Linked DNA regions of Mytilus edulis. The protein of the gene in region 2 binds, or shares a complex with, the protein of the main gene of each other region. Links are inferred from orthologs where the notes say so. Each region holds a gene or a part of one and is shown on either strand. Other genes may lie near its edges.

Region 1 (7,846 bases), on a different chromosome or scaffold from region 2:
GTTCTTCTCACTTTTAGATTGATCATTTTGTGCCAATTTCAGGGCAGATACATTTTGTGACTTTATTGTTGTTATATTCTTCTGATGTTCATACAGTAAATGCTTCACTTTTTGTTTGTAAACCTGAAAATATAAAATGGTAAATCATTAAATATTTTTATTTAGATATGATTTTCACTGATAAAATCATACTCATCAAATCTCATTCTGTCATAATTAAATATAATACAAATCTACATGTTCATATAACAGATTCTACTTTATTTTCATGTTTGAATACAAAATATTTGAAGAAGATAATTATTGATAGTTTAAATTTAGAAATTCCTGTTTGCATTTATTTTACAAACGAAGAGACATTCTTTTATAAAGATATTCAGAAAATATTGTAAACACATTATGTCAGTAATAGTTATAATGAAAGCAATCTTGTCAAAATTTTTACAAAATATCTGACTTTGAATGTTTCATTTCAATTTATTTCTACAACATGACAAAGTAGCTTTTGGAAATTATGAAAGAAGCATACATGGAAATGTAAAGATAGTTAAAAGAATATGATTGAAAAACAATTCTTAAATTTACTTTTATTTCGGTCTGATGTCTTTCTTCTGAGTCCTCCATTTCTCTGTCTTTATTTCTAAGTTCTGCTTTCTTCTCTTCTAACTGTCTTTTTGTGATTTCCCAGAATGTGTTGACCTTGTCTCTTTCCAATTGGAAGTAGTTTCTCTCTTCTCTTTCACGTTCCAATTCCTCACGTAATCTTTGTATGTGTTCTTCCAACTGTAATTAAAACATTTAACTTTTTGTAATGATACTAGTCAAACATTTTGATCTTTTTAATGAAACAAAAAATTTTGCAATATTAACATGATGTAAACAATTTGCATTTTATAAACTTGTGCAACATAATTTGCAATCAAAAAAATCTTCAAGAATTTAGAGATAAACAAAATATAAATTATTCCAACTACAAGGTAAAAATATTGCAAGTATATTTGTTTGTGTTTTCGTTGTCTTTTATCATCTTTTGGATAGGTCCATATTGCTCAGTCTTTGTTTTTTTGCTGTGATATTTCATTTGTGTTTGTGAGTTTGAATATCCCTGGTATCTTCTGACACTTTATTTTAAGCAGAAGTCTACATGTATACCTGTTCTTTAGACATTTCTTCTGTTGAGATTCCATCTATAACTGTTGGTGATTTGGCCTTTCCAGATTTCTTCCCTTTCTTTCCCTTCTTTCCACTCTTCTTTTTAGGAGGCTGCAAAAATGAAAATTCATTTAAAAAAAGATATATCAGGTACATAAAGACTAAGTGTCAATTTTGATGATTTGTTGCTCTATATTTCTTGACCTGAAAGACCAAGAGATGCTAATAGATGGGTCAGGATGATTAATTGATTTTAAATAGCCAGTAATGTTAACAATTTCTTCTGTAGCTCAGTCTATATCTTAACTTAGATATGTACGATGGCTTGTATTGAAGTGGAGACATTTTTCACATACATAGTTAAATTTTCTGGGTTCAAAGTGAGTTGCATTCTTCTATAAATTAGCACACCTTGAAAATCTTTTTGTGATGTGGATCCTCTGGGTAAAAAATCTTTTAAATAAGTTCTTTGAAAATTTTATACATTACTTACATTGAATCTGGGTCCGTCCGCCCTGATTCACGTTCGCCCTAGTACCTGTTCGCCCAGATACCTGTTTGCCCAGGGTCCGTTTGCCCTACGTACATGTACCTTTTTTTTTAATTGTTGTCCAGTTGCATAATGTTAATTATTTGAACAGAATATGTTAAAGTTTGTTGAAAATTTACCGAATATTTGTATTGCAGCAACCAATATATATTATTTTCCCTTTGATTTGCATAGTATACTGGAATACAATGTATTAATTTAGTAATTAGTTAGTATAGAAAGTTCCTGGTTTATCATAACAAAATGTTTGTTTTTATTATTAATCCATCAAAAGACAAGTATCACAACAATCAGTGAGAATTATTATGTCATTGAACAATTATCAATCCTAAAAAAGCCATAAACTTTTAAATGATTCCTTACGTTTCCCTAAATTTCAAAAATATGTACCACATAATTATCTAAATAAGTTTAACCAACTTCGAATTCAATGACCTGAATATCATTTTAGTAGGACGAACAGACTCTACGGGCAAACGGACCTAGGGCGAACATGTTATTAAGGCAAATGGACCCGATACCATACATGTATACATTCAATAACTCCACAGTTTTTACACACTTATCATATGGTCCTCTACTTTCCAAATCAACACAAATGGTAAAGCTGGAAGAAGGTGTTTCCTATGCAAATTTCAATAGTAAGCATGATCAGTAGTAATAAGTCCGTGGGTTTACTCTATTTTTGAAAGTTTTAGGCCTCGGAAATTAAAGTGTCAGACACCAAAACCAATGTTTCAATCAGTTAATTATTTTCTTACACTAAACAGATAGTAGTTCCATCTGAAGAAAAAGCGGTCAATCAGTTTGAAAGAGAAATAAGTCAACAGGTTGTCTTTTTATTTACATACTATAGTATAGGTAGACAGGTTGAACAGTCACTGAGTCAGCAGATAAAGATAAATCTATTTGCAATGAATCCTCTTTACAGATTATTTGATAAATGATCAGGTCAATAACATACTACCATATAAACTATACACAATAATGTAATAAAAGTTTAAAAAAGAGGAAAATAACCAATTTATCAAAATATTGGTTTAGAATATCATGTGTATTTCAAATACAAAAACTGCATAACATGTTTAAATTTCATGTTGTTTTGTCGTTTTTGTGTAGTAGAATTAAAAAAAAACGGGTAAGACAGGAAGAGGGATTGAATATCTCACTAAGAGTCATCCATAAACCTACCATTGTTCAGTATGTTCCTGGATTCTTTGTTTTCAAAATGTTAAATGTATGTTCCCCCTTTCTGATGTACTTGTTGTCCAGGTGACGGTCCCCGGATGTAAATAAACACATAATCTCGTACAAGACAACGAGATAATTAGCTGTGTACGTTTTATTTGATTTTTGGACCAATCGAAATGTCAAAGACAGTGAAAAATAGTTTTATCATCATAAATTTATTCGAGAGAAAAATATATTAAAAATTACGTAAATTTTAGAATACTGGTTTTCTAAAGTAAATAGGTAACTGTTAAAAAGAAAACGCTAAAACACGTATCTAATTTCTGGCGACGGCACCCGTTTATCGTTAGACGCAAAATAACGTATATCTTTTCAGGTTATGTGTCTCTGTTATTGTTAATTTTTCAATATATTTGTGTGTTTATAACTTAAAAGCGTCTGTACCAATTCAGGTCCGTATCAACCCTGAGACTACTATACTCAGATCAACCCAAACATGCTCGAGAGACTTTGAAAAATTTCAAAAATTATACGGCATACATAGACCTTGATTTCTTGGGGATCTTGAACTTGTTGAGAAGTTGAACTTAGTAATTATGACGGAAGAAGAAACTTGCTGTGATATACAGTCAGTGGACAAAAGTGAGTTTCCACTAAAAAAATTTGTCCTATTATTTCAACTAAAATCATTATTTTTCAAATAAATATTACCCGGACACCCCTTTCGTGAAAAATTTGGTTGATTATATAGCGAATCACCTTAGTTCAGTCAGCCCCCCCCCCCTTATAAAAGTTTTGGTAATTCCACTGTTACTGATTTATAGCAAATAAACTAAACAAATAAATACAAAATCCTTGGTGTGTAATCTAGATTTATTTTTATTTTCCGTATTTAAGCCGTCCGTGATTGCTAAAGAGTAATACTATGGCGTGTGGTACTTATGTATATACGTTGATTTGCTCAAACCTTCACTCATTTACATAACACCCTTTTTAGCTCACCTGGCCTAAAAGGCCAAGTGAGCTTTTCTCATCACTTGGCGTCCGGCGTCCGTCGTCGTCCGTCGTCCGTCGTCGTCATCGTCGTTAACTTTTACAAAAATCTTCTTCTCTGAAACTACTGGGCCAAATTAAACCAAACTTGGCCACAATCATCATTGGGGTAACTAGTTTAAAAAATGTGTCCGGTGACCGGCCAACCATCCAAGATTGCCACCATGGCTAAAAATAGAACATAGGGGTAAAATACAGTTTTTGGCTTATAACTCAAAAACCAAAGCATTTAGAGCAAATCTGACATGGGGTAGAATTGTTAAACAGGTGAAGATCTATCTGCCCTGAAATTTTCAGATGAATCGGATAACCCGTTGTTGGGTTGCTGCCCCTGAATTAGTAATTTTAAGGAAATTTTGCTGTTTTTTGGTTATTATCTTGAATATTTTTATAGATGGAGATAAACAGTAAACAGCAATAATGTTCAGCAAAGTAAGATTTACAAATAAGTCAACATGACTGAAATGGTCAGTTGACCCCTTTCGGAGTTATTGCCCTTTATAGTCAATTTTTAACCATTTTTCGTAAATCTTAGTAATATTTTACAAAAATCTTCTCCTCTAAAACTACAGGGCCAAATTAATCCAAACTTGGCCACAATCATCTTTTGGGTTAGTTTGGAAAATATGTCCGGTGACCCGGCCATCAAACCAAGATGGCCGTCATGGCTAAAAATAGAACATGGGGTAAAATGCAGTTTTTGGCTTATAACTCAAAACCCAAAGCATTTAGAGCAAATCTGACATGGGGGTAAAATTGTTTATCAGGTCAACATTTATCTGCTCGGAAATTTTTAGATGAATCGGACATCCCGTTATTGGGTTGCTGACCCTGAATTGTTAGTTTTAAGGAAATTTTGCTGTTTTTGGTCATTATCTTGAATATTATTATTGATAGAGATAAACTGTAAACAACAATAATGTTCAGCAAAGTAAGATTTACAAATAAGTCAACATGACCGAAATGGTCAATTGACCCCTTAGGAGTTATTGTTCTTCATAGTCAATTTTTAACAATTTTCATAAAATTTGTAAATTTTTACTAACATTTTCCACTGAAACTAATGGGCCAAGTTCATTATAGATAGAGATGATTTTAAGCAGCAAGAATGTTCAGTAAAGTAAGATGTACAAACACATCACCATCACCAAAACACAATTTTGTCATGCATCTATCTATCTGCTTCCTTTAATATTCACAGAGACCAAGGTGAGCGACACAGGCTCTTTAGAGCCTCTAGTTAAATAATCTTTTCATTATAAATTCTGATGTAAGAACGGCACCTTTAACTAGCCAATTGAATTTAAATTGAAAACTAATTTAAACTATTAATTTAAAATTTTTACTTGTTATTATATTCAGATCTTACACAACTTTTAATGATTATTTTATTTTATGGTTTAAAATTGTAATGACTATCTTATGAATTAATAAAAGTTTTGCCTTTTCTCATTTATCTGTTCATAAGTTTATATGCCCTCTTGTGTTTTAATGTGTAAAAAGTTGCTACAGTTTATACCATATGAGTAGTGCTCCATAATTAATATAGAGGAACATACAAGAAACTGAACAGTTAGTTTAAACAGTATTTATTAATAAAAAATGTCAAGATAAATATTACAATGTTACATAAAGTTCAAATATGGGATTCGGAAACAAGTTTGGAAAAACTTTTATAAATCCGTCTCCCTAAAAAAAAACACCATCTATTTAACAAACAATATTACGTGCCAACAGTATATTCAGTTTATGGTAGCATATAATAAAATGAATAAATACCAACACACACACGCAAAAAAATACAACAAATAAAATAAGTGAAAAAAAAAAAATGTGGAAAAAAAGGGAAAAAAAACACGAAAACAGTCAACTCTTATTTACTTTTCCAGACAGTCACTGGAACCAACACACACGTCCGACTATAGACTCACTATACTGTCAATTACGCCGGGCAATCCACTCGATTTTACATCATATTAAAAAAAAGTCTATATATATAATATATATATATATACATATACTAGATTAACTTTCAAAACGTTTTGTTTTATTTGTGTATTCAGAAACTTTATGAAACATTTGCACATTGTCCTCGTCAGCTTTTAGACTGTCCCCATATAAGATAATCTTAAGATTAGAACAGGAGATCGTCCCGATAGTATCCCTTCGAATTTCATTATATTTTGGACATTTGAAGAAATAATGAGAGGTAGTTTCTACTCGACCACAGGTACACAGTGCGTTCTCAATTAGATTTTTTTTAATAGATGGTCCCTTAGAACACTACTCTGGAGTCTTAGTCTTGCTTAACATGTCTGTTCTCTTCTACAGCCTAAGTGAAAGTTCAATGGTATTTTATTATTATTTTGAGAGAGATAAGTCTTAAAACCCGATTTTGATTGATTTAGACGAATGTCGTGTGGAATATTATTCCAAAGGTTTACTACGGCTGGTAGAAATGACTTTTGATAATAGCTTGTTCTGCATAATACAGTTTGTAAATTTGAAGACCCCTAGTCCTGTGGTCGTGTAGATCTAGTCTCTGATTTGGAACTAACACAGAAAGATAATCTCCGTGAAACATTTGATGAAATTTTAATAACTTATGTTTATCACGTCGAGACTGGAGTTTCCCAACCGGTTTCATCGTACACAGCAACCGTCTCGATGATATCTTAGTACCACCTGTATCGATTCTTGCTGCTTCTAGTTGTAAGTTTTCCAGAGATGTTTTTAATTAATTTAGTATGTTATCCCAGACAATGTCCCCATATTCTAAGACTGGGCGTATGAAAGATCAATAAATAGTTTCTAAATTTTTCCTTTTAAATTTAAACTTTAACTTTCGGAATAATGCTAATCTAGGAATAGCCTTATTAATAATCATTTTTACATGGTTATTCCAGCTTCCATCTTCATTTATAATAACCTCTAAATGCTTGTGCAACTCAACTTCTTTTATTATATTATTATTCATATACACTGGCGGGTGGTGGGGTTAATGGTGCCTTTTTGAAATGGTCATTATTTCTGTTTTGTTTGGGTTGAAATAGACAAGCCATTGTTTAGACCAAGTATGTATTTTCTCAATATCTTTATTTAGCATTTCTGCCGCTTCATATTCGATATCAACCACTATATAAATTGAGGTGTCATCAGCAAAAAGTTTTATATCAGATTCGATGTCATTAATTATGTCATTAACATAAATGAGAAATAAAATAGGACCCAAGATAGACCCTTGGGGTACCCCAGCTGAGACATGTTCGTTGTTGGACGTTTCTCCACCAATGACAACCTGTTGCCTTCTTGAGTTTAAATAGCTTTCAAACCAAAGTAACAAGTTACCATTAATTCCTATTTTTCTAAGCTTATAAAGTAAGCCTTTATGCCAAACTCGGTCGAAAGCTCGACTAGAGAAGATTACCCTGACCTCTTTCCCTTCATCTAATGCTTTACCAAAATCGTTAATAATTCATAGCAGTTGGTTTACTGTCGAATCACCAGGGATGAAACCTGACTGGTATTTTGTTAATAACGAATTTGTAATAATAAGGTATTTAAAAATGCATCTCTCCATTGTCTTACCAATGTTAGACAGCAAAGATATAGCATGATAGGTCTATAATTAAGTAAAAATTCTGGGCCACCTTTGTTCTTATATACAGGTATAACATTTGCTAGTTTCCACACATCTGGAAACCACCCTGTTGGTAGGGATCGATTAAAAAGTTTTGTAAATGGATACTTCAAGACAGTTGCTGCCGCCTTCAGGAGTCTTGGACTGATTAAATCAGGCCCTGTAGCTTTTGAAATATCAAGATTCAAAAGCACATCTTCAACATCCTGCTCACTTATAACCAGTTCCTCTAGTTTATTAATTTCATCATTTTTTAATAT
Region 2 (7,835 bases):
TTATATATTTATTTTATATATATTCAAACCTCTTCTTTCTTTTTCATCAGTGGACAGATCTCCCTCGATTCGTCTGCGAGACATGTCTCATGTGTAGCATACCCGCTGACAACGTAAGAATCGTAACCGGCTCCAGCTAACAGGGAACACAGCAATGTACTGTACTCAAAACAATTCCCTTTCTGACGTTTTAAAACAGATGGTGGCGATATCAACCTCTTTGGCTGGAAAAAAAGACAAAGATATCAATACAATTCAATGTTATCACTACCATTTATTTTTTCAAATGAAACAAGTAATCAAATATAAAATGTTATGGCATCTCTATCCTGACTCTAGAACCATATAAGTCTTAATTTTGTTAGGACAGAAAATGTATTCTTTATGATTTATATTGATCAAGAGTACTGGTAAGTTTCTCTTTTATGGGATGTTATATCTTTACACAAGTTTATTATATTTTGAAGCTTAAAGAATATAGTTACTAACAAAAAAATAATCTATGGTTAAATCTTGACTTGATGTAATAAAAGTACAAAAAATAATACTGTTAAATCAGAAACTCAACACATTTTTCATTGGATTGGTTCACATCAAAATGATTATAATGCACATTTTTACTATTTGGATATTTAATAACATAAATTTGTCAATAAATGACATGAGTCAAACTAATAAATTTCATATTTTGTATTTTTCACATTTTGCATTATGAAACCTCTGCATTTACTACTTAATTTAATAAATCATTGAGACTTGTAACCAAATAAAACATAAATTTTTTTATTATTAAGATGTTAATTTAAACTACCATTTGACTGATGTAAAATTGTTGTTGTAAATTATGACAATTACCAATTCATATGGAGGCTCTAATGTCTCAAAATTCAGATAATCTGCAACAAATTCTGAACTTCCCTCCCAACCGTAAAATTCTTTAAATTCAATCTGTGTTGGTCTGATGGTTGTACATACAAATTTCTAAAATCACAAATAAAATATATATATATACATACATGCATTTATTAAATGTAATTTACAAATAAAATAGAAATTTTAACATGAAGAAAGCAATACAGCCTGTTAAATAAACCCTTCTAAACTCTCTTTTGCAGTGATCAATGGTGAACTCATCATACATACAAGAAAAAAATATCAAACTCAGTGGTCATATAATTAATAATTCAGGTTTTAGAAAATTCTTATACAAAAGTGATTTAATCTATTGACCAAAATAATATTACATGTACATGTAATACCTGGGTTTCTGTTTTATTCAGTTATCATGCTGAAAAATAGGTTATGTAGGAGAATGAATTTATTTTTCAAGCATTTTTTAACTGGTTTAAACAGGGAAAACAATCTGATTTTAAAAGAGCTTTTGCAATAATAACAAAATAATCTGAGGATTAGAGTTGGTCGGGTTTATAGCAGAAAAACATGTATTTTGTAAGAGCCTCATTCATAATTAATTACCTCTGTCCCACATTCATTGATTGGGTTGAGAAGAAGAGGTTTCCTGTCTCTGTATAAGTGTACATATTGTAGTCTAAAATTTTCTGCATATTGTAGCACCAAGTTTTCTTTTGGTAAATTGTCTTTATAGGAAGCAGGGAATTCTGCTGGATCAAATTCCTGGGCTGTTAGTCTGGAAAAAAATCAGCATTAAATCAAATTCATTAGATGTGAAGACTGGTCTAATAACTAGATAAAGCATGCACTCAATGTAAGGATACATGTATATATAATTTATTTGTATGTATATTGGTCTTTTGATATCCACTGTGGGATTAGTTTTATAAACTCTTTCTTTATTTGGCACTTTTCTGATTCTGGTTTTACTGATAAATATTTGATATACAAAATTATAAGCCTGGTATCTTTGAATCATATGATAGTTTATGTAGCAACTAGCAGTAGTAAGTGCCTGTGATATCAAAACAGAACAGATACAAGTTTCAAACAAGCTAGAACGAATACAAAGGCAAGCAGCACGCTTTATAACAGGCGACTACAGAACTAGGCTGCATAACAAACATGCTTACAAAAATAGAGCTACAGGAACTAAAATTGAGACGCATGAGCCCCGCTATTGATCCAGACGACTTCCTCAAATCAGCAAGACCAAGACGAACCATCACAGCTAAAAATTTTCAAGCCACAAACATAGTTGAAAAACATGTGAGGAACAATACCAGGTGTTTTGACATTCCTACTAGTAAAACACCGCAACATTCAAATTCATTTTTTGTGTCCACAATAGTAAATTGGAACCATCTAGAAGACACTATTGTTCGCGCAACAAGTGTAGAGAGCTTTAAATCTGCTCTGGTGAAACATCAATAAATCGACGGCGCCTTCACTCCCGTTGTATAAAAGCCAGAATAGGGCTCTTCACGGTTAGTTCGGCCATATTGGATAGGGAGCAGATTTTCATAATAGAGGTAAAAATGGTGTGAAAAATACGGGAAAACATCATTAAAACAGAGCTGTTGCTTGGAAACACACATAGGATTTCCCACACTTTCATACCATTTCCACCTCCTTCCAAAAAATCTGCCCCCTATCCAATATGGCCGAACTAACCGTGAAGAGCCCTATTGGTAGCTACGACGTACCCATACAGATACAGATATAAAACCATGCTGACAGTCAGCTAATTAAGTTGTGGTGATGACCATATTGAGGGCATAGTTTTTTTTATTAATTTGTTTATTTACAATTCGCTCTTTAACTTATTCTTGGCAATGGATATAATGCATCAAAACATTGCCTTACTCTTGAATCGTTGGAGGATGCACCACTATTTTGTCAAGCTCCTTTTTCAACGCCTCAGCATCGTCGGTTAATTCTTCGGCTGTTTTGCCTTCAGCTTCTTCTCCTAGTTCATCTTCATCTTTATCTGGATCGGGGGTCTTTGTATCTTCACTCGGTAAAGCGAATTCGTCCTCCGAAGCCATGATTTTACAAACGAGACGAACAACTCATTATTTAAACACAATACGCGCTCATAGCAACAAACTCTCTTTGAAATATAGTGCATCGACAATATAAAAATCATGATCGCTCAGAAAATAGATATGTACGTAATGCTAGTCAAAATTTAAAGCATAACAAATCATGGTATTTAAATTGCATAAAATACTTCTGGAAATCATAAAACAATTAATTGCTAATTAAAGATAGTCGCGCATTAATCTATTAATTTACTTCCGGTAATCTTTTACAGTTATTTCCCTTGTTTTAGTTACAAAGTTAGCTTTCAAAAAAAGCTTGACATAGTTCTGATCTCAAATATTACAAATCAGAAAATTTAAATAAGACTAGTACTTAGTCCAGGGACGTAGGTGTCTTTTTTTATGTTTGGGAATAGTTATCAAAAGTACCAGGATTATAATTGTTTATAATTTTATATATAAAAAAAATCTAAATATTTAAAATTAAAACCACTAGACTACTCTTAAATTTTGAAGTTATCTATTTTGAATTTTTATGAATATGATGTGAATAGTGCAGAATTGTTTAATTTTGTTAAATTCTTAGTTGGTGTTCGTTTTTGTCCTGTTTTGTGAGCTTCATCTTTTTTCATTACTCTGGAGTTCAGCATTTTTGTTAGAATAGTACTATTTTATAATCAGTTTGTTTTTGTAATTACCTCTGGAGATCTAATATAAAAACGAAAGAAATGATAAAAAAAACCCAATTATTATAACTACCAAAATTATACTTTTTACAGGGTTTGTAATAACATAAACAATACAATGGGTGCCTTTCAGGAGCACTTGAGATTAATACCCCGTTTTTGGTGGGGTAAGTGTTGATTAGTCTTTATTTTTGTATTTTGTGTACTATTGTCTGTCTGTTTGTCTATTGCCTTGTAGTCATGGCGTTGTCAGTTTATTTTTTAATCTATGAGTTTGAATGTCCCTCTTGTATCTTTCGCCCTTCTTCTATTATAGTTTTGTCCCTTATTTCTTGAAGTAATTTTAAATATGTTTAGATATTATAAATATGTATTAAAGACTGATGATATCCTTCTCTCTGAAGCTCTGAGTGTCTCTACATCACTAAATAGTTTAAACAAAAATAGTTGGTATAGTTGTATTGTTATTCTTATGAAATATCTTGATATATAGATCTTAAACTTGTTAAAAATTCAAAGATGGATTTAAAATCCCTAATTTACCGGAAATTAAAACTGAAATATTCTTGTATTTGGAAATCTGAACTTTACAATGATAGACAAAATAAACAGCATGGAAATAAACTAAGAACTTACAGATTATGTAAAGAAAATATTTGTATGGAAAAATATTTATTAATTTTGAATGACGATGAAAGGTGACTGCTCACTAAGTTCAGAGTCAGTGCACATAAATTAGAAATTGAAAGAGGCAGATATTTGGGGCCTCGAGTGGAGGATAGAATATGTAAATTATGCAACACCGAAGTTGAAGATGAAATTCATTTTCTTCTTCAGTGTCCTGTTTTAGAAAATAAAAGATCTGAATATATAAATTACTTAAATAAGGTAAACAAAAACTTTAAAAGCCTCCCAACTAAATCAAAATTAATATGGTTAATGTCATCTAAGGATAATGTTATAATTTAAAAAGTAAGTTTATTGTGTACTTTATTCAAAGAGAGAAATTAAATACTAGAAACAATTACGTCACCAGTAGTTTGTCCATCTATATTATATTGTAAAACTATACATATTATTCCTGTAGAAATTATTCTGCTGAGAAAGACTTGATTTTGTTTAATTGTTAAATAATCAATGTAATCAATATGTAATCACTTGTATGAAATTGAACTTAATTGGACTGCTAAAATTATTGGGCATCATGTTTGACAATAATTCTTATATGATTTGCATATCTATAAATACTTGAATTTAATTGGTCAATTAGAATTTTTCTCTAGGTTTACACTTCGATAAACCATGTTTCCAAATCTACTTTCGTAATCTATTCATGCGTGATACACATTCTTGCAGGGATACTGGGAATTTCAGCAAATTGAGATTTAAAAAAACAAATGCATAACAGTTGTTTCTATTCTAATGCATAATAACAAAAAAGAAATTAAATGAATGCACTAAAGCTACGAAAATGTATAAAAATTAATTTAAATAAAATTCTGCGAAATTTCATGAAGGATTTGGCGAATTGTCGTCATGGCAAAACACAACGTCATACGAATGAAAACTTTCAGGGGAAAGATCATTTCGTTTAATACGTCTAGCTTCAAATTCGAATAATATCTCATTTTAAAAATGAAATTTCGGAGGAAGGTGCTATTTTGTTTTAGATTCCATTGCATTTATCGAACATTAATGAATTATAGAAAGTCAAGATGGCGGCCAACTCCTTAGTTACGACCTGTCAGTTGTGCATGTGATGGTGATTATAGTAGCTTTACACCAAAAAAAATGTTAATAAAAATCGAGAATATTTGGCTTTAGAATTATAAGAATTAAACACATTTTTTCTAGAGGTCATTGATGTGTAAACGGGGCTCTTAGCCACAAACTTTACATAAGGACTTTTATTCAGTTTGTGAGTTAATCGCCCCGGTTTAATCCTATAATAAAAAATCTTTGTATTTGTATTTGTCATGTCTTTTTTTTATGTTTTCTGCATAAAATTTATATCTATCTGTATTCCTTGGGTCTTGGTTGTTTTCCCTATCCAAGACTAGGATTACTTAAGGGGGAGAAGATGACGGGATTTGTTGTGTGAAATGTACAATAGCACAGAAAATTCCTGTCAGGAAGGAAATCTTATCATGATGCTAAGAAATATAAAATATTTTAAAATCTATAGCATTTGACCTCCATGACTAATAAAACCAATGCACTTCACTGTTAAACTTAAATTGATGAGCATTTAGGCAGCAACCATTTGATTTTCTGAGGGGGGCTATGGTTTTTTTTTCTGGACAAATTATTTTTTTCGCCAAGTCGAAAACAATTTTTTTCTTTCAATTTTAGCATTACATATAGTGGCAGCTGAGGGTGAAACAAACAAATTTTTTTTCTCAGAATCAAAAACAAATTATTTTTTTCTCCTAAAAATGGAAACAAATTTTTTTTTCCAAAAAAAACCATAGCCCCCCCCCCCCCCCCCCCCCATAAATTCAAATGGTTGCTCCTTATAATGAAGGTCATATTACAAAGTGTGATAAAGATTGTGAGTGATAAAAAAAAAACATTTAAGGGTCACTTAGCTACAAGATACCTAAACAAGGGTGCACACGCTGAAATGTCTTGCCTTCTTTACTAATCATTGATATTATATTGATAGTCTTAATATAAAGCTTTATTACAACTGTCATATAAACTTAACATTAACCAAGAAAACTAAACATTGACCAATGAACCACGAAAATGAGGTAAAGGGCAAATGAACCATGCCAGGCAGGCATGTACAGCTAACAATTCTTCCATACAACAAATATAGTTGACCTATTGCTTATAGTTTAAGAAAAACAGACCCAACACAAAAACTTAACACTGAGCAATGAACCAAGAAAATGAGGTCAAGGTAAAATAAACCTGCACGACTGATATATAGATCATAAAATATTTCCATACACCAAATATAGTTGACCTATTGCATATAGTATTAGAAAAAAAGACCAAAATTCAAAAACTTAACTTTGACTACTAAACCATGAAAATGAGGTCAGGGTCAGATCTTATCTGCCAGCTAGACATGTACATCTTACAATCATTCCATTCCCCAAATAAAGTAGACCTTTTGCATACAGTATAAGAAAAACAGACCAAAACACAAAACTTAACTATAACCACTGAACCATGAAAATGAGGTCAAGGTCAGATGACACCTGCCAGTTGGAAATGTACACCTTACAGTGCTTCCATACACAGAATATACTAGACCTATATATTGCTTATAGTATCTGAGATATGGACTTGATCACCAAAACTTAACCTTGTTCACTGATCCATGAAACGAGGTCGAGGTCAAGAGAAAAATGACTGACGGGCATGAGGACCTTGCAAGGTAGGCACATGCCAAATACAGTTATCCTAATACTGAAAATTCAGAAATTAATGCGAGGTTTTTATTATTGCGAAAAATGCAACAGAGTTGTAAACGCAATAATTTAAACTCGCATTTTGAAATGTTTTATATGAATTAAACAGGATTTTTCTCAAAATGTCAAAATCATAAAAATAAAAACCACATTTAAGTCTAAAATGACAAAATCGCAATAATAAATGCACGCAATAATTTCTGAATTTACAGTACTTATAATAAGAGAATTGAACATTACAAAAAATCTTTAACTTTTTCAAGTAGTCACTGAACCATGAAAATGAGGTCAAGGACATTGGACATGTGACTGATGGAAACTTTGTATCATGAGGCATCTATATACAAAGTATGAAGCATCCAGGTCTTCCACCTTCTAAAATATAAACCTTTTAAGAAGTTAGCTAAAGTTGCTGCCGCCGCCGGTTCACTATCCCAATGTCAAGCTTTCTGCAACAAATATCGCAGGCTCGACAAAAGTTGATTTCTGAATTTTTTGTTCAATCATTAATGAAAATGAAACAGTGAAATAATAATTCAATTTAAGCAGCCAGTAGTTCTATTTTGTCAAAATAAGTGATGAAAACTTCGATGATTAGTTATTCACTTGCAAGTAAATAAATCGACTTCATTGAATTTGTATTAATGCGAACTTCAATTTAACCCCTTAGATAGAGATGGATTACACATGATTGAAGTGTGTTAGGTTACTGAAAGAAAAGAATGTCAACATTGAAAGTGAAACAAAGGTGAATCATTTAATTGACTGAT
Region 3 (7,929 bases), about 85 Mb from region 2:
CCTTACAATCATTCCATACACCAAATATAGTAGACCTATTGCATATAGTATAAGAAAAACCTATAAGGTGACCTATAGTTGTTAATGTCTGTGTCATTTTGGTCTTTTGTGAATAGTTGTCTCATTGGCAATCATACCACATCTTCTTTTTTATACTTGTTCACTGATCCATGAAATGAGTTCGAGGACAAGTGAAAACTGTCTGATGGGCATGAGGACCTTGCAAGGTACGCACATACCAAATATAGTTATCCAATTACTTATAATAAGAGAGAATTTAACATTACAAAAAATCTTAACTTTTTTTTCAAGTAGTCACTGAACCATGAAAATGAGGTCAAGGACATTGGACATGTGAATGACGGAAAGTTCGTAACATGAGGCATCTATATACAAAGTATGAAGCATCCAGGTCTTCTACCTTTTAAAATATAAAGCTTTTAAGAAGTTAAGTAACGCCGCCGCCACATCACTATCACTATGTCGAGCTTTCTGCAACAAAAGTTGCAGGCTCGACAAAAATTGATTTGAAAATTTGTTTTTAAGTAGCAACATGTCATGGTATGCTTATACATTTACGTAATATTACGTAAGATTTACTTACAGTTACTATGGTTACTAAAATACAATTTAAAAATAACTGAAAAGGAAACCTTTAATAATGGTGAAAATGAACGCAGGGTGCAAAGTTGTGGGATTCAAAAACGAATGGAGGCAAATGTGACATTGGGAGAATGGACCAAGATTCATGACAAGTTAGTCTTGAGGTTTACCTGTATACCTATATATAGTTTACAACAAATATAGCATGGGGCTTCAGAATGAGATACGTAAATGAATAGTGATACACAATTTAAAAGTTATTACTTTGTGTTAATGACATCTTTGGCTTTGTCTTTTTTCTTCACTCTACAAGTATGTGGACAGCAAAACTAAGTGTCTCTTTCTCAACAATTCCTAAAAATAAATATTACAATCAAATCAATTGAATTATTCAAATAAGTTTTATATGAAATATATATAACATAAACTTTGAATTGATATTTACTTCAACTCACACTGTACACTGATTTAAAAAAGTAGGAACAAATTATTAAGTCCCTGTGGGTAATAATGAACAAAATCAGTTGGAATGAATTGATTAAATCTTAGACAAATAGGTTTAGAACGAATTCAACTTGAAATGAATTGTTTAGCAGTCAACAATACAACATAAGCTCAGAGCAAGCTTATTACAGACATACATAAAGTGATAATCAATTAAAGTACATATACAGTGCATTCAGACACAATAGGACAACACAAAACACACAATAGTTTTAAACATACACAATTGTCAAATAAAAGAATTAGTTTAGCATAAAATCATATAGAGTTAAGTTAAGGCTAATGCAAGCACTAAAATAGCAAAAACTATTAGCACTCAAAATCAGCAAAACTCTAGCATCAGAATAAATCTTTGACGGGTGAATTGCTTCCCTTGGTAAATGTGGTTAGATACTTAGTCAGCTGTAAGCGATTGAGCTAAGGAAGTTCAAGCTCATTAAGTTAGTGTGCTGCCTTATAAAAAGTAAAATCACAAAAATACTGAACTCAGAGGAAAATCTAATCGGAAAGTCCATAATCACATGGCAAAATCAAATGACAAAACACATCAAAAACGAATGGACAAGAACTGTCATATTCCTGACTCAGAGGGCTCATATCCCAGGTATGAAACTAAGCAATTTTGTAATAAAATTGTTTAATTCATGCCCTCCGGTTACAAATCAAAAATTACAATTAAATTTTTTGTCAAAATATATTAAGTTCAGTTGCCACCTACATGTATAAGTTATATATCTAAAGTACATGTGAGTTGTTTACCATCTGGAGTGAAATTGTACACGCGAGACTTTAACGTTTACAAGGGAAACAATCCAGTGTCAACAGCGACATTGACAACAGAACACAGGCACTTGTAGTCGGTAGACAAAATAATAACGATTGACATACTTTGGTAGGATTGCTACGGATGATTCTGACAACAAAAGTAGGTGTGATATAATGTACACCATTGTGTAGATAAATCAATTTAGATTTACGAAATTACAAGTTTTAGTGGGGTTAACAACTGTGAAATAGGTATATGACGGAATTTCGTGACATTCTGACATGTTTAAAAAATGCGAGTTAAATACCTTGTGTTATATAAGGGTATATAGCATTTTTTTTTCTGAGACAAGTGTCTGTGCAACAGAATACAGAAAATTACAAACAAAAGAAAATAAGTTATTATAATTTTTCAAATCTGCTGTTGTTCTATACATGTATGAATAAAAGTGTGGTCAATATTAATTTCACAGACAACACAGGAACTTTATCTTCAATCTTTGTCGTGATGACAGAGTAATCTCTCTTGTAAATTATCCTCTCTTGTAAAATAATTATCACAAATGTAGTTTCTCCTTTGTACTTATATATTGTAGGTGGCGCTTTAAAAATATTATAGAATTATTGTATGAAGTGAAATAAATCTAAAAAATGGTTTATTAGGTTATTGAAATGGCATGAAAAATTAAAAATATAAAAAATTTAAAGAAATTTGTATCAAATTATCCACTAAAACGGTTTGTTTCCTCTATGTACTCCGCTAATAGTTGATTGATATTTTCTGCATTTGGCAAATTGATTGTTAATAAATTGTCTAGATCTGTTGGAATTTGTCCTGTTATGAAGTATATTTGATGAAATAATTTGTCTCTGGCATCTGGAACTTTAACAATAATAACATGCTTAAAATACTTTATCATTGCCATATGATCATATTGCCTTAACCACTCTGCACAGCACGATATCGTGTAAAACTACTTGTAATAATGACATTTTAGTGATTCATATATATCTTGAGATATTTGCCATGCAATTTGTGAATTTTTGCTTCCCTTATCTCATTAATAATGCCATAAAATACCTTTTTTTTTACTGAAACTGGCATAACATTATGTTTACATGTTGCTAGGTGGCATGCGCCGAAACCGGAAGTTAAGAAAAAAATCAACTTCCGTTTCCTTTTTCAATTTTCAGCAGGTCTGCATGATGAAAATATATGTTTATGATGACAAAATAATGCTTTCCTTAAATAATAATTTATATTTATTAAAGCAAACTTAAATTTTATTTTATACATAAGTCATTGTTCATACTAGAATAAACGGATGGGGCTTCAAACGACTGATATACGCAGATTTAAGGTCTTAACAAGGATTATTTACTATAGATCTTCACGATATTTTTCTTTAAATCAATGACAACTTGACTGATATTCCCCATAATGTAAAAAGGAAGATCTTCGTAGAGAACAAACTATTATTCCTCTTTTTGCGACAGTTTGCATTGTCGCATATTCCAAGATTCATTTAAAAAAAAGATAAATATGTGCTAAAAATGTTGATGATAGTACCAACAACGTGTATATATATATATCGCACCTGTTACACTTGATTAGTATAATTTGGTATGGACAATCGCTTAAGAATAGTATTGAAATCAATGTTCAGAGCACCCTGTTTTTTGTGGTGTTGTTTCTAAGTCGTTTTCTATGTTCTTAATGTTGTTTCTTGTTAAGTATTATTTGTTTATTTCTTTTTTAGCCATGAGTTTTTCAGTTTGTTCTCAATAAGTTTGAATATCCCTCTGGTATCTTTTGCCACTCTTCACTTGTATAATAATATTTAGTTTTACCATGGAAGTATTATATTGACAGGAACTAGGTACGGAAAGTGATTTTTTTTAAATCAACCGATCTTAGAAAACTTTACCTCATTTAAAAGGCATTGTGAAGACATTTTCAAAACAGTTTCACTTTTATCTATACACATAATAACAACGAAGAAATTGCAACTTTTCAAAACGAAAATTTTTTACTATTCTGGAAAAACTGTTTCCTCTCTTTAAAAAATAATAAAATATATTTTTTTAATCATTTGGGTTATAGTTTTGTTTATATTGCTTCTTTTACATCTTGTTAGTCAATTTCAATCCTCCATATTCAGGTTTTTGGTCAAAATAGAAGCATAAAGCATGAAAATGTCGACCACTCTCATGAAATTGTATCGTCCAAAGTCACATAACATGACGATACCTTTACATATTCCTTTTTTCAGAGCATCAGGTATATTGAAAATGTAAAGTAAAACTTTATAAACATTTGAATGTAAAGAAACAAAATATAAATATGAATATTACTCTTTATATACAAATGTATGTTAGTGTGTGTGACTATAAAAAAAGATGTGGTATGATTGCCATCTGAGACATGACTCTCCACAAGAGACCAAATGACACAGAAATTAACAACTATAGGTCACCGTACAGCCTTCAACAATGAGCAAAGCCCATACCGCATATCAGCTATAAATGGCCCCGAAATGACAAATGTAAAACAATTCAAATGAGAAAACTAACAGCCTAACTTATGTAAAAAAAATAAATGAAAAACAAATATTTAACACATAAACAAACAACAACTACTGAATTACAGGCTCCTGACTTTGAACAGGCACATACATACAGAATGTGGCGGTGTTAATAAAATTGAGAATGGAAATGGGGAATGTATCAAAGAGACAACAACCCGGCCACTGAAAAAACAACAGCAGAAGGTCACCAACAGGTCTTCAATGCAACGAGAAAATCCCACACCCGGAGGCGTCCTTCAGCTGGCCCCTAAACAAATATACACCAGTTCAGTGATAATGAACGCCATACTAATATCCAAATTGTACACAAGAAACTAAAATTAAAATAATACAAGACTAACAAAGACCAGAGGTTCCTTACTTGGGACAGACGCAAAAATGTGGCGGGGTTAAACATGTTTATGAGATCTCAACCCTCCCCCTATACCTCTAGCCAATGTAGAAAAGTAAACGCATAACAATACGTACATTTAAAATTCAATTCAAGAGAAGTCCGAGTCTGATGTCAGAAGACATGTTAGCGGACGCCCAATCCTCCCCCTGACCTGTGACAGTACAACATAAGAATGAACTATAAAAATCAGTTGTACCATGAGAGACAAGAAAAGTTTTGTATAGTCATGATACATGTGATAGTTTTAGAATGTTCCCTTTTCATTAACATTCTATTTAATTAATATATCTTAATCTTATATGGCATGTATAGTGAATGCTTATAAATAAAAATAAACAACAACCTTCTAACAATTATTCTACATGACTAAAATAAAAACATTATTTTTATTTTGAGAAATTTCAAAGAAAATAATTATGTCAGATTATGTACTGTAAATACCTGTATGTATAAAAGTAAAGTAAATTCATCATGTTCATATCTGTATATCAGTTACAATACTTATACAGTGAAATCTGTAAACCAATTTTATTCAGGACTGAAGTTCGAAATGCATTAAATGTGAATAGCATTCGAATTGAACTGCCGCTACTGCATGGATTCCTATGTATGTTTTTAGTTGAACATGTTGAAAATACATACAGTCATGTATATTGATTGTTGTTAAACCACATTATTCAGTATCCTTACTACCTCGTGTGCAATGGCAAGTGGTTAAACTATCGTTAAATGGCAATAAACTGGCTGTATAATGCAAAAAAAAAAACTATCACCGCTGAATTCCAATCAAAACTTAACCAAAAATTGTCCATGCAAGGGAAATAACTCTGTATACACAAAAAGGAGGGTAATTTATAAAAAATAATTTTGATATGAACACAGCTATCTAGATTTATTTTTTGGACCTTATTATTTAATTAATATATTAAACTTAATAAAAAAGTACATTTTATGGCTGTATAAAGTTCCCTTGTATTTTTTTGAAACAAATGTAACTTTCAAACCCTTGTTTGTACCTCAAATATTTCATCATATTCCCGAAAATTATAATATACAGAATCATGAATATTCATATAATATCTATCAAAAGCAATCAGAACCTTCTGAGACTTAACAAGTTAATAAAAGACCGTAATTGGAGGTCACCCAAAGATTTTATTTTTACACACATCTGGGTACAATTATTTAGGGTAATTTGGAGTTATCTCCCATTGGTTTGCCATACCTACAGGAACTACTACGACCCGACTTCAAACGGTTCATCTGCGATGCCGCGTACCATTTAATGACATGTTAATTAACTTGAAACATGGCACTATATTAATACACCAGTGTGTGGCACATTGCGATAAAGTCATGTGTCGGTCGTTTCCGGGGTACGGAAATACAAGAAGAAAGCGGATGTTGTCATAAATCCTAAGGAAACAGTTTATACACACGTGTGTAGATGAATAGAACGAGACATACAATCATTAATTCCAAACAAACACTTTGACAATGGATGAATTTGAGACAGATAATATACCCGATGATTTTTGTCCTCACATTTTGAAAGTGAGATATATTGTTCGTGTAAATCGGATGATTCGTCACATCTTATCGAATGTAAAAGCAAAGAGTGCAAAATAAAATTTTAGCACATACAATGTGTTGGATTGCAAATTGGCATCGATGGACCATGTTAAATAAGGCTTTACGTATATAACTATATATGAAATATCCTGACTGCCAAATATACATCACTGAATTCAGTTTCAGTTTACGTTTTTGGTATAGACATTAAACCTTGTTTTTTTTAAGTGCATATATAAAGTATTAGATTTACAGTAGAAGTTGATAACTTTAAGATTTGTCCTTGTGAGAAAACAATACTCGGGTCATAAGACTTTTTTTAAATCTTGGCTAGTATATATATTGGCATAGTCATACATGTTCAAATGATAAAATACTGACCATGGCTTTATATGATCGGAAAGGTCTTTCAATTGCGGGTAGACATGAAGTTTTTATATTCACAATTAAAAAGATATTAACCAACATTATATAGATAGCTACACAACGAAGTGAGATCTCTGTTTTCTTCTGCTGTATTTTGTTGATGTTGGTACTTGTTCGATTAATTTTCGTATTTTAAACTGGAAATTTATACTTTCCAGGATTATCCAGTACCTTAACTATATAGATTACTCGAAACTTCACAGTATTTATTTTTATCAAATATATTTATTTTTAACCGGCGGTAACCGGAACACACCTTAATTACGATTTAAACTTAACCCACAAACTAATGAAATATTGTCACTCACCATTTCAAAACGTTGTAGTATTCAAAGTTCTCGTCCGATTTTCTTGGTTTGTACATCAGTCGATTTGTTTTGAAAAATTGAATAATTCTGAAAGACCACAGACGAGATTGAAATACACAAAGGGGTTTTCCGACAGGTATTAGAGATAACCTTTCGCAATAAAAACCACGTGATGATAAGAAGTATGTCTGGTCAGTTTAGGACGGCGGCATCGCACATGGTCACAAAGGGCTATTAACGATAACATACTAATTAGTCAGTTTCCATATCTTTTCTACAGAGCTCCCTGGGTTATAAATAAGTGCTAATAAATCGTTGTAGTTCCTGTCAATATAATACTTCCATGGTTTTACTATATCAATCACCATATTAACTTCTTATACATGTACCTGCATACTGCCCACATTCATGTCGACATGCACTTGCCTTTTAAGTAACAAACCTATATTAAGTCGGCTCAAAACCAATTTAGTCTCTGCTTAAGTTGTGCATTTCCCAAACAGTATGTACCATACCTTCCAACACCCATTACTGAACTAAGACGCTTTCCTTGATTAGAGTGCTCATCGGTTAGACAAGCTTGAATACATTTGGGATATTATTCCAATTTTTGATTATTTTCTTTCCAAGTAATGTCTATATTTGCCAATCTGTTATCCATCTAGAAAACAGCTTGATTTATTTCGTTCAAATGTTAATTTTCAGGCCATTCATTAAGAGGCAGTACCCGGTACTTTTACCCTCTTATGCTACTGATAAGTACTGCCTA
Region 4 (7,205 bases), on a different chromosome or scaffold from region 2:
ATTGTCTTATTTTCAATCAATGTTCATTTTTGTACATGTATTATTAGAGTCTTAAAGTTATGAAAATTTAAAACAAATGACATAGGTCCAAGTTCTTGTTTTGTCATCAAAATGGTAATACTGTATTAAAAAAAAACCTAATTCACATATTAAGATTTATGACAAACTACATGTACATTGATTATTAATCAGAAGGAACTCACTCATGCTGTTAAAAACTGACGAAGGTCATGAGATTATGCTAAATTCTATTGAATCGGAGTCTGACAAATTTTAAATAACAAAATATTAAAGTCTAGACAGAAATTTACATCCATTGACAATCCCAGAATATTTTTAAAAAGTGATCTGTCACATTTATGTATGAGGATGAGGATATCAATGTCGTATTTCTTCTACAATAATAATATGAGAAGATAATGGTAGGCAGGTAGATGAAACGGTATCAGGTTTATTCGACCCAAATATACTTTTGCACACTACATATTTGCACCTCGCACATTTGCACCCAATTTTAAATCAAATTCCAGTTGAATTATTAGAAAATCATGATTGTTGTTTTGACTTGCTTCAAGCCTATGATGTAAACACTGCATGTTGTGGGTATTTAGCTTGTCATGAGAAAAGCATTAAAGATTTTAAATGAAAACACACAAAAAAACAATTGTTTTTAACAGCTTGGTTCCTTTGATCTGAAACAACGAACAAAAAAAATTAAGGCAATACATGTACAGTAACCAAAACATGATTAAGATTTATTCAACACACAAAAAAACGTTGTTCGAATCTCACTTGATTTAGAAACAATGTTTTTTTTTATTTACATGTCAAAACTGCCAAAATCTGCTCTGAAATTTTAATTAAGCAAAAATGTATTTTATATTCATGATAGTTGACTTAAGTTGTATTTGTAGTATAATTTAAGAATATTTTTTTTATATCTCTCATAACTCTTTATAGAGTGGCTCTTGTTGTTAATTTGTGTTTTAAAAAACTGTATATTTTATATGTAACAAGTGGTGAGACTTTAATAAAGTATTTATCTTGTCTTCACTCGTGTCTTGTCTTGTAGCAATACACAATCTCAAACATAATTCAGATTTCATCTTTCATTTTTTAATAGATAATAATAATACACTTGCCAAATCTAGATTACAAAATTATTTAACAAACCCAATAAAGAGGGGGAGAACATATTTTTAGGATTCAGATGACACTTACATGAATGAGAAAAATAAAAAAATGAACAAATTGATGACCAATGTATATGGACAATGCAGTCAGTATACTCTATTGTAGAAGCAATGAAGCAGAGCATACATTTAGGAAGTCAAATATCAACTTTTAGATATATCAGACGATCTTGTCTGCCCAAAAATTGCTGTTGGACATCAGAGTAATCTCTGACATGAAAAGATGTATAGATGATAAAAAAAGATTTCTTCTCTCTATAAATTTTAAAACACAAACTACAAATTGTGGTTGTAAGAGATAGACATTTATAAAAATCATTATGATTTAACCCTCTTGCTGCCGGACATGTGTCGACACAAACTGTGTCAGAGGGAGTGGGACACATACATTGTACATGTATGTCCATGCTTTAATTTATGTAAGCTTCTCATCAGTGCTGTACCTTAAACAAAATAAACAAGGGCCCCGAACAATTGGGGCAAGTATGGACACAACATTCATGCAAGCTTGATACGGTATCAGGTCCGTTCGCGCCCAATATACTTTCGCACCTCGCACGTTTGCACCCAAGGTCCGTTTGCACTCTACACGTTTGCGCCCAATTTTTATTCAAATTCCGGTTGAATAATTGGAAAATCATCATTGTTGTTTTTAATTGCTTTCGGGTAAATACTGAATGTATTTATAGCTTGGTATGAGTAAAAGATTGAAGATTATAAATGAAAAACACAAAAGATAATTGTTTTTAACAGCTTGGTCCCTTTGATCTGAAACAATGAAACAATAAAATATAGCAATACACTATTATAACCAAAACATGATAAAATTTATTCAAGACTCAAAAATAAAAAAACATAGTCAGAATCTGACTTCATTTTGAAACAAGTCAATGAAACAAAGTTATGGTAATACACTAACCAAAACATGATAAAGAGTTATTCAACACAAAATAAAATGTTGACAGAATCCCACTTTATTTAGAAAGGAATATTTTTTTTTTTAACAATACACTATCCAAAACATGATTAAGATTTATTCAACACAAAAAAAAATGCTGTATCACTTTATTTTGAGACAATGAAAACAATAATACTTATAAGAATACTACTTGATTACAAAGTTGATATTGGGCGCGAACATGTAGGGTGAGAACATACTTTGGGTGCGAACATGTAGGGTGCGAAAGTGAAAGGGGGCGAACATGAGTGGGTGCGAACGTGAATGGGCGCGAAAGGACCTGGATTCGCTTGATACAGCTCTGAATTTGGATTGTGATCAAATTCTTGACATAATATGAGTTTCTGACACAAAACAAATGTCAAGATCTTACAAATCTATTATGCAATATTTTGCAATTACAGATTTCTTCAAACTTTTCAAAAATTTGGAATTTGAGAAATTTGGAAAAAAATTATAATAGCCTTTCAAGACGTCCATGACGTCATAATTATTTAGACTAGTACTAGGGCAAACGTGAATGACGTCATTGTTTGGCATGTCACACCACAATCATCAAGCGGTCATATTTTCTAACATATGAAATGCAACCCTGAAAAACAGAGGGATATTGTCTTTTTTTTTATTGACTATTTTGGTTTTGTTGAGTGCTTGTTTATTTGTTTTAAATATTAGTAAATGCGAGTGGCAGTTGTTAATTATTAAAACTATATCATTCATTGTAATTTATTGAAGATGACATTAACCTTTTGAGTAGAAACGACTGTAACCTCAATGATTTCTCACATTTGTCGATTTGAAGCTTCAAAAATTGTGGGAAATGGCGTCCTGTTTCTATGTCGACTGTTATTTCCGGTTCTAAAAGTACTTCCGTTCCACGAAAATATGTATTTTAAAATGATGTTTGAATATGAGAGGAAACCAAACATTTTGTAACGTGAAGAAAGAAATTATTATTTTAAATATTGGTCGAAATTTTATGCCAGTCACAAGACTATTCTATAAATAGATCACGCAAATGACGTCACGCAATATTTACAAAAAAAATGGCTGCCCTCTTTGGACATGGGAATCCTCTGGCTACACCTGTAGGCCAGATGATTGGTAAGAGCTTATAGTGAGAAGTAACAGCCCATATTTAAGATGAGACATTACATACACTCCCTTACATAACAACAAAACACAATGTCAATCCAATTTAGGAGAGAAAGGTAGAAAATAGAATGAAAGTCTGAATAAAAAAAAGAGACCATAAATATTTTTTGAGACATAGTTGATACCTTGACCATCATTTTGCTCTAAACTTCTATTCTATATTTTTCTTTTAAAAAATGAACATACTTGAAAATACTGTCATTGCTGCACTTTCATTCCTGACTTAATTTCCAAACCTAACTTCCTTCCATCATCCATGTTTGGATAAAGTTAGGGGTGACTGTTTGAATTTTTTTATTCATGTTTACGGTATCACTATTTGAAAATCACCAATGTATGATCTATTATTTCGAAACACTAACTTTTGCTGTCATGAAAAATCACTTGCATTGTGACATCAGAATTTTTCTCTTATGACACAGACATTTGAAGGAATCAAGTGTGTCTGCAAATCCAGTCTAAACAAAAATTTTATCCCTCTATAGAAGGATTATCCCTCTATACAGGTATAATCACCATATAGAGGGTTTGTTCCCAACCTGTTCAATGAAATCGCAAATGTCAACAAGAACTAAGTAAGACTGTAAGCAAGGTAAGATCATCGTATCTTGCAACAAATTTTAAAACAATTCGCCGTTTCAGAATCTAATGCATTCTGGGTAATATTTTCAAAAGCGTACACCAAAGCGTTTTGATTGGTTTAAAACGTTATAAACAATGGAAATTCAACCAATGACGTAACGTTATTTTAACTTTGGGGTACGAACAATGAAATTACCCATGATGCTTTAGATTCTGAAACGGTCAATTTCATGAAAATAATTTAGTTATAAGTAGTTGTAACTTTATCTTGAACATGAATATAGAGAAATTAAATGCATATTATGAATTAAACACTTGTTTGTGCAATTTTAATTTTGAACTTTATCCACATAATAACATTGATTGTTAGAGTATGCAAAAATAAACTAGCAGTTTCCTGAATTCTGGTGTTTCCCTTGATAAACCAGGGCCTGGATGGTCTTAGAAGTTTATCTACAGCAATCACTAGCCTGTCAACACTGAGTTTGTATGTACATTGTAAAAACCCTGCATGTGGCAGGTGTGCTGAAGGTTGTTCTGACTCCACTCTCCAGCTTTCTCCACCATTAAAACTTGGATGCGTAGCTGTAGCTGATAATGCTTCAAGATGTGTTAAACACCAATAATCAATCAAACGGTGAAACAAACATAGAACAATTATTCAATCACCAAATTTACTATTCAATTGAAAACTGAAATGCATTTATTCCTGAGCAAACTTTAAGGAGTAAGGGGTGGATTTTTTAAAACCTTAATGGGAGAGTACAGAGTAGCACACAGTTTTCTATATAAATGTTTAATTGACATGTTGTACTTGTAAACAAATACAAATGAAAATAGTTTTAGTCTAAGTCAAGTTCCTGTTGGGAGAGTTATTTCCAGATTTGACTCCCTACAGTGTACTGAATCAATTGTGAAATATTTTACAAGTTCCCACTCCTAGAACTTGCTCATTTTCCATGACAGCGTCCGTCGTTGCACCCTGTGTTGACCAAATTTTTGTGGCTACAATAATTACTAACAACAATAAACTTCTTTTGAGTTGAAATGTGTGGTTTGTTAAATTATAATGAATATAAACCAAGAAAATTGTCAGCAGGTGCACTATGAACATCTTTGATTTTAACATTTAAAGGGTATTGCACAACAATTATCAGATTATGGTGCAATCATATTGTATTTTAAACATGATAAAAGAAAAAATTAAAAGAATGAGGTAAAGAAAAAACATGTTTTCTATTGTGATTTTCTTATTTTCAGAAAAAAGCACTGATGGTTCACAAGCATCAGAAAACTGGGGACTGTTTATGGAAATCTGTGATGTAATTAATGACACTGATGAAGGGTATGATACTTATATTAGCTATATAAATTAAAGTCATTTAAAAGTATGTTTATGGCCTCTTTATTTATGTGTTTTGATGTCATATCAAGTCTGGAAATAGAACAGACTGTTTTGATAAGGATGGTCAGCCAGTAGAATGAGTGGATGTCTAATATATCAGGTGCATGATATTTTTTGATAGAAGTTGTCAGATGTATTAACATTTGCTATAATAAAATATTTTACTATACTACATATAGTGACAATGATATGTTCTGGTTGGAAAATTTACAAATTGTAATGTATAAATTTTTTTGATTTTTTTTGGATTTTTCAAGTCTTTTTAACTGTACCATTCCTTCACAATAGTGCTCTCACAGAAGTAATTCTGCAGTAAATATGAAAAAAGAAGATGTGGTATGATTGCCAATGAGACATCTCTTCACAAGAGACCAAATGACACAGAAATTAACAACTTCAGATTACCCCACAACCTTCATTCATGAGCAAAGCCAATACCATTAGGTCAGCTATTAAAGGCCCTAAAATGACAAATGTAAAACAAGAAAACAAGAAAACTAATGGCCTAATTTATTTACAAAGTAATGAACGAAAAAACAATATATGTAACACAGCATGCGCTACAAACAACAACCAATAAATTACTGGCTCTTGACTTCGGACAGGCACATACAGAATGCACGATTTAACAGGTAATGCTTAATATGATTTGAATAATGTGATTGGTAAAGATTTCCATTTTAATGCAACAGTCTGTAGGTCTTATCTCTTGCCACTGAAGAACAACAGTTCCTACTAGTGGTCATCCTAAATTTTATCTCGTGCAACTTTGAGGCTTATTTATGAAGAATTTAGATTTATATAAATTATAAATGTTCTTCTGTATATTTTACAGACCAAAAGATGCTATTAAAGCAATTAAGAAAAGATTGTCACAAAATATGGGAAAGAATCACACTGCAGTTATGTACACTTTAACAGTAAGTTTCTAGACTCCCCTTTCTTTAAGTATTGTACAATGTATGTTAAAAGGTCAAACATGTGACATGAAAAACTTGGCTTATTTAATCTTTATTTTACTTAGATGACATTCAAAGATAATAACAATATATTATATTAATTTGTATTGACATAAAATGTACATGCCTGTTGATGCATTACGAAAACAACATGAAATTTCCTATAATTAAAAAAAACTTATTCCTAAAAATATTCAAACTTCATCATGAAAATATATTAAAAGAAAAAACAAAGGATATGGTGTATCCATCAGTGACACACAATCAGTAAATGTATAGCAAAAAACACTAAAAGCAAAGGGAAAGTGTGTAATTGCTGTTTATGATCTCAGAGTTTGAAAATGAATATTTTTAAAAATAAAACTTGATCATCAAGAAAAAAAATTCTTTCTGATGAAGCCCAATTAAATTAATATTGTGACCAGTCAGACCCAACAAAGAATTTTTAAAACAGTAGTGACTTTGGTATATCATTGAAATGGTTATTTTATAAATCAAATGTTTACAAAACTTTAAATCGATTGTTGAGGAATAGATTATTTTAGCTAAATTTTTTAAAAACATTAAGGAATTTTGAGTCTTTAATACGCTGCTTCAAAATTATCTCTGATCAGTGTCAACCACCAATTGCGACAATATTTCAAGCCCCAATCATGAAAAATTAATTGATGATATTACTAGACCTAAATATTTATATTTTCAGGGTTTTGGCAAATTTTATTTTATTTTTACTTGTTATACAAAATCAGTTATTTGTTTTATTTGTACCTAATGTATATTATTTCTTTGTATATTTAGTGTTTGGAGACATGTGTGAAGAATTGTGGAAAAAAATTCCACCAGCAAGTAGCCACAAAAGATTTTATGGGTGACTTAGTCAAAATAATTGGTCCTAAATACGACCCACCAACAGTTCTTCAAGAAAAAGTCTTAAGTTCTATACAGGTAAAGAT

Evidence for each region.
Region 1: dynein regulatory complex subunit 7-like (region 2) and dynein regulatory complex subunit 4-like share a complex: the UniProt entries of both Homo sapiens proteins name them as parts of the nexin-dynein regulatory complex. The link is inferred for Mytilus edulis from reciprocal best matches to the Homo sapiens genes DRC7 and DRC4.
Region 3: dynein regulatory complex subunit 7-like (region 2) and dynein regulatory complex protein 9-like share a complex: the UniProt entries of both Homo sapiens proteins name them as parts of the nexin-dynein regulatory complex. The link is inferred for Mytilus edulis from reciprocal best matches to the Homo sapiens genes DRC7 and DRC9.
Region 4: dynein regulatory complex subunit 7-like (region 2) and dynein regulatory complex subunit 3-like share a complex: the UniProt entries of both Homo sapiens proteins name them as parts of the nexin-dynein regulatory complex. The link is inferred for Mytilus edulis from reciprocal best matches to the Homo sapiens genes DRC7 and DRC3.

The regions. Positions count from the first base shown.
Region 1 is NC_092348.1:7,363,321-7,371,166, reverse strand, and holds the start of dynein regulatory complex subunit 4-like, read right to left. Parts: upstream 3,020-7,846; 5' UTR 2,897-3,019; coding exon 2,894-2,896; intron 1,264-2,893; coding exon 1,153-1,263; intron 784-1,152; coding exon 586-783; intron 124-585; coding exon 1-123. UniProt on the Homo sapiens protein: Component of the nexin-dynein regulatory complex (N-DRC), a key regulator of ciliary/flagellar motility which maintains the alignment and integrity of the distal axoneme and regulates microtubule sliding in motile axonemes.
Region 2 is NC_092346.1:2,214,784-2,222,618, forward strand, and holds the start of dynein regulatory complex subunit 7-like, read right to left. Parts: upstream 3,001-7,835; 5' UTR 2,961-3,000; coding exon 2,779-2,960; intron 1,649-2,778; coding exon 1,477-1,648; intron 982-1,476; coding exon 856-981; intron 225-855; coding exon 30-224; intron 1-29. UniProt on the Homo sapiens protein: Component of the nexin-dynein regulatory complex (N-DRC) a key regulator of ciliary/flagellar motility which maintains the alignment and integrity of the distal axoneme and regulates microtubule sliding in motile axonemes.
Region 3 is NC_092346.1:87,338,849-87,346,777, forward strand, and holds the start of dynein regulatory complex protein 9-like, read right to left. Parts: upstream 3,010-7,929; 5' UTR 2,956-3,009; intron 959-2,955; 5' UTR 884-958; coding exon 868-883; intron 1-867. UniProt on the Homo sapiens protein: Component of the nexin-dynein regulatory complex (N-DRC), a key regulator of ciliary/flagellar motility which maintains the alignment and integrity of the distal axoneme and regulates microtubule sliding in motile axonemes.
Region 4 is NC_092352.1:28,254,923-28,262,127, forward strand, and holds the start of dynein regulatory complex subunit 3-like, read right to left. Parts: upstream 3,006-7,205; 5' UTR 2,898-3,005; exon of another isoform or gene 2,892-2,897; intron 1-2,891. Other genes in the region: TOM1-like protein 2, read left to right, coding at 3,198-3,255, 5,149-5,233, 6,129-6,213, 7,051-7,197. UniProt on the Homo sapiens protein: Component of the nexin-dynein regulatory complex (N-DRC) a key regulator of ciliary/flagellar motility which maintains the alignment and integrity of the distal axoneme and regulates microtubule sliding in motile axonemes.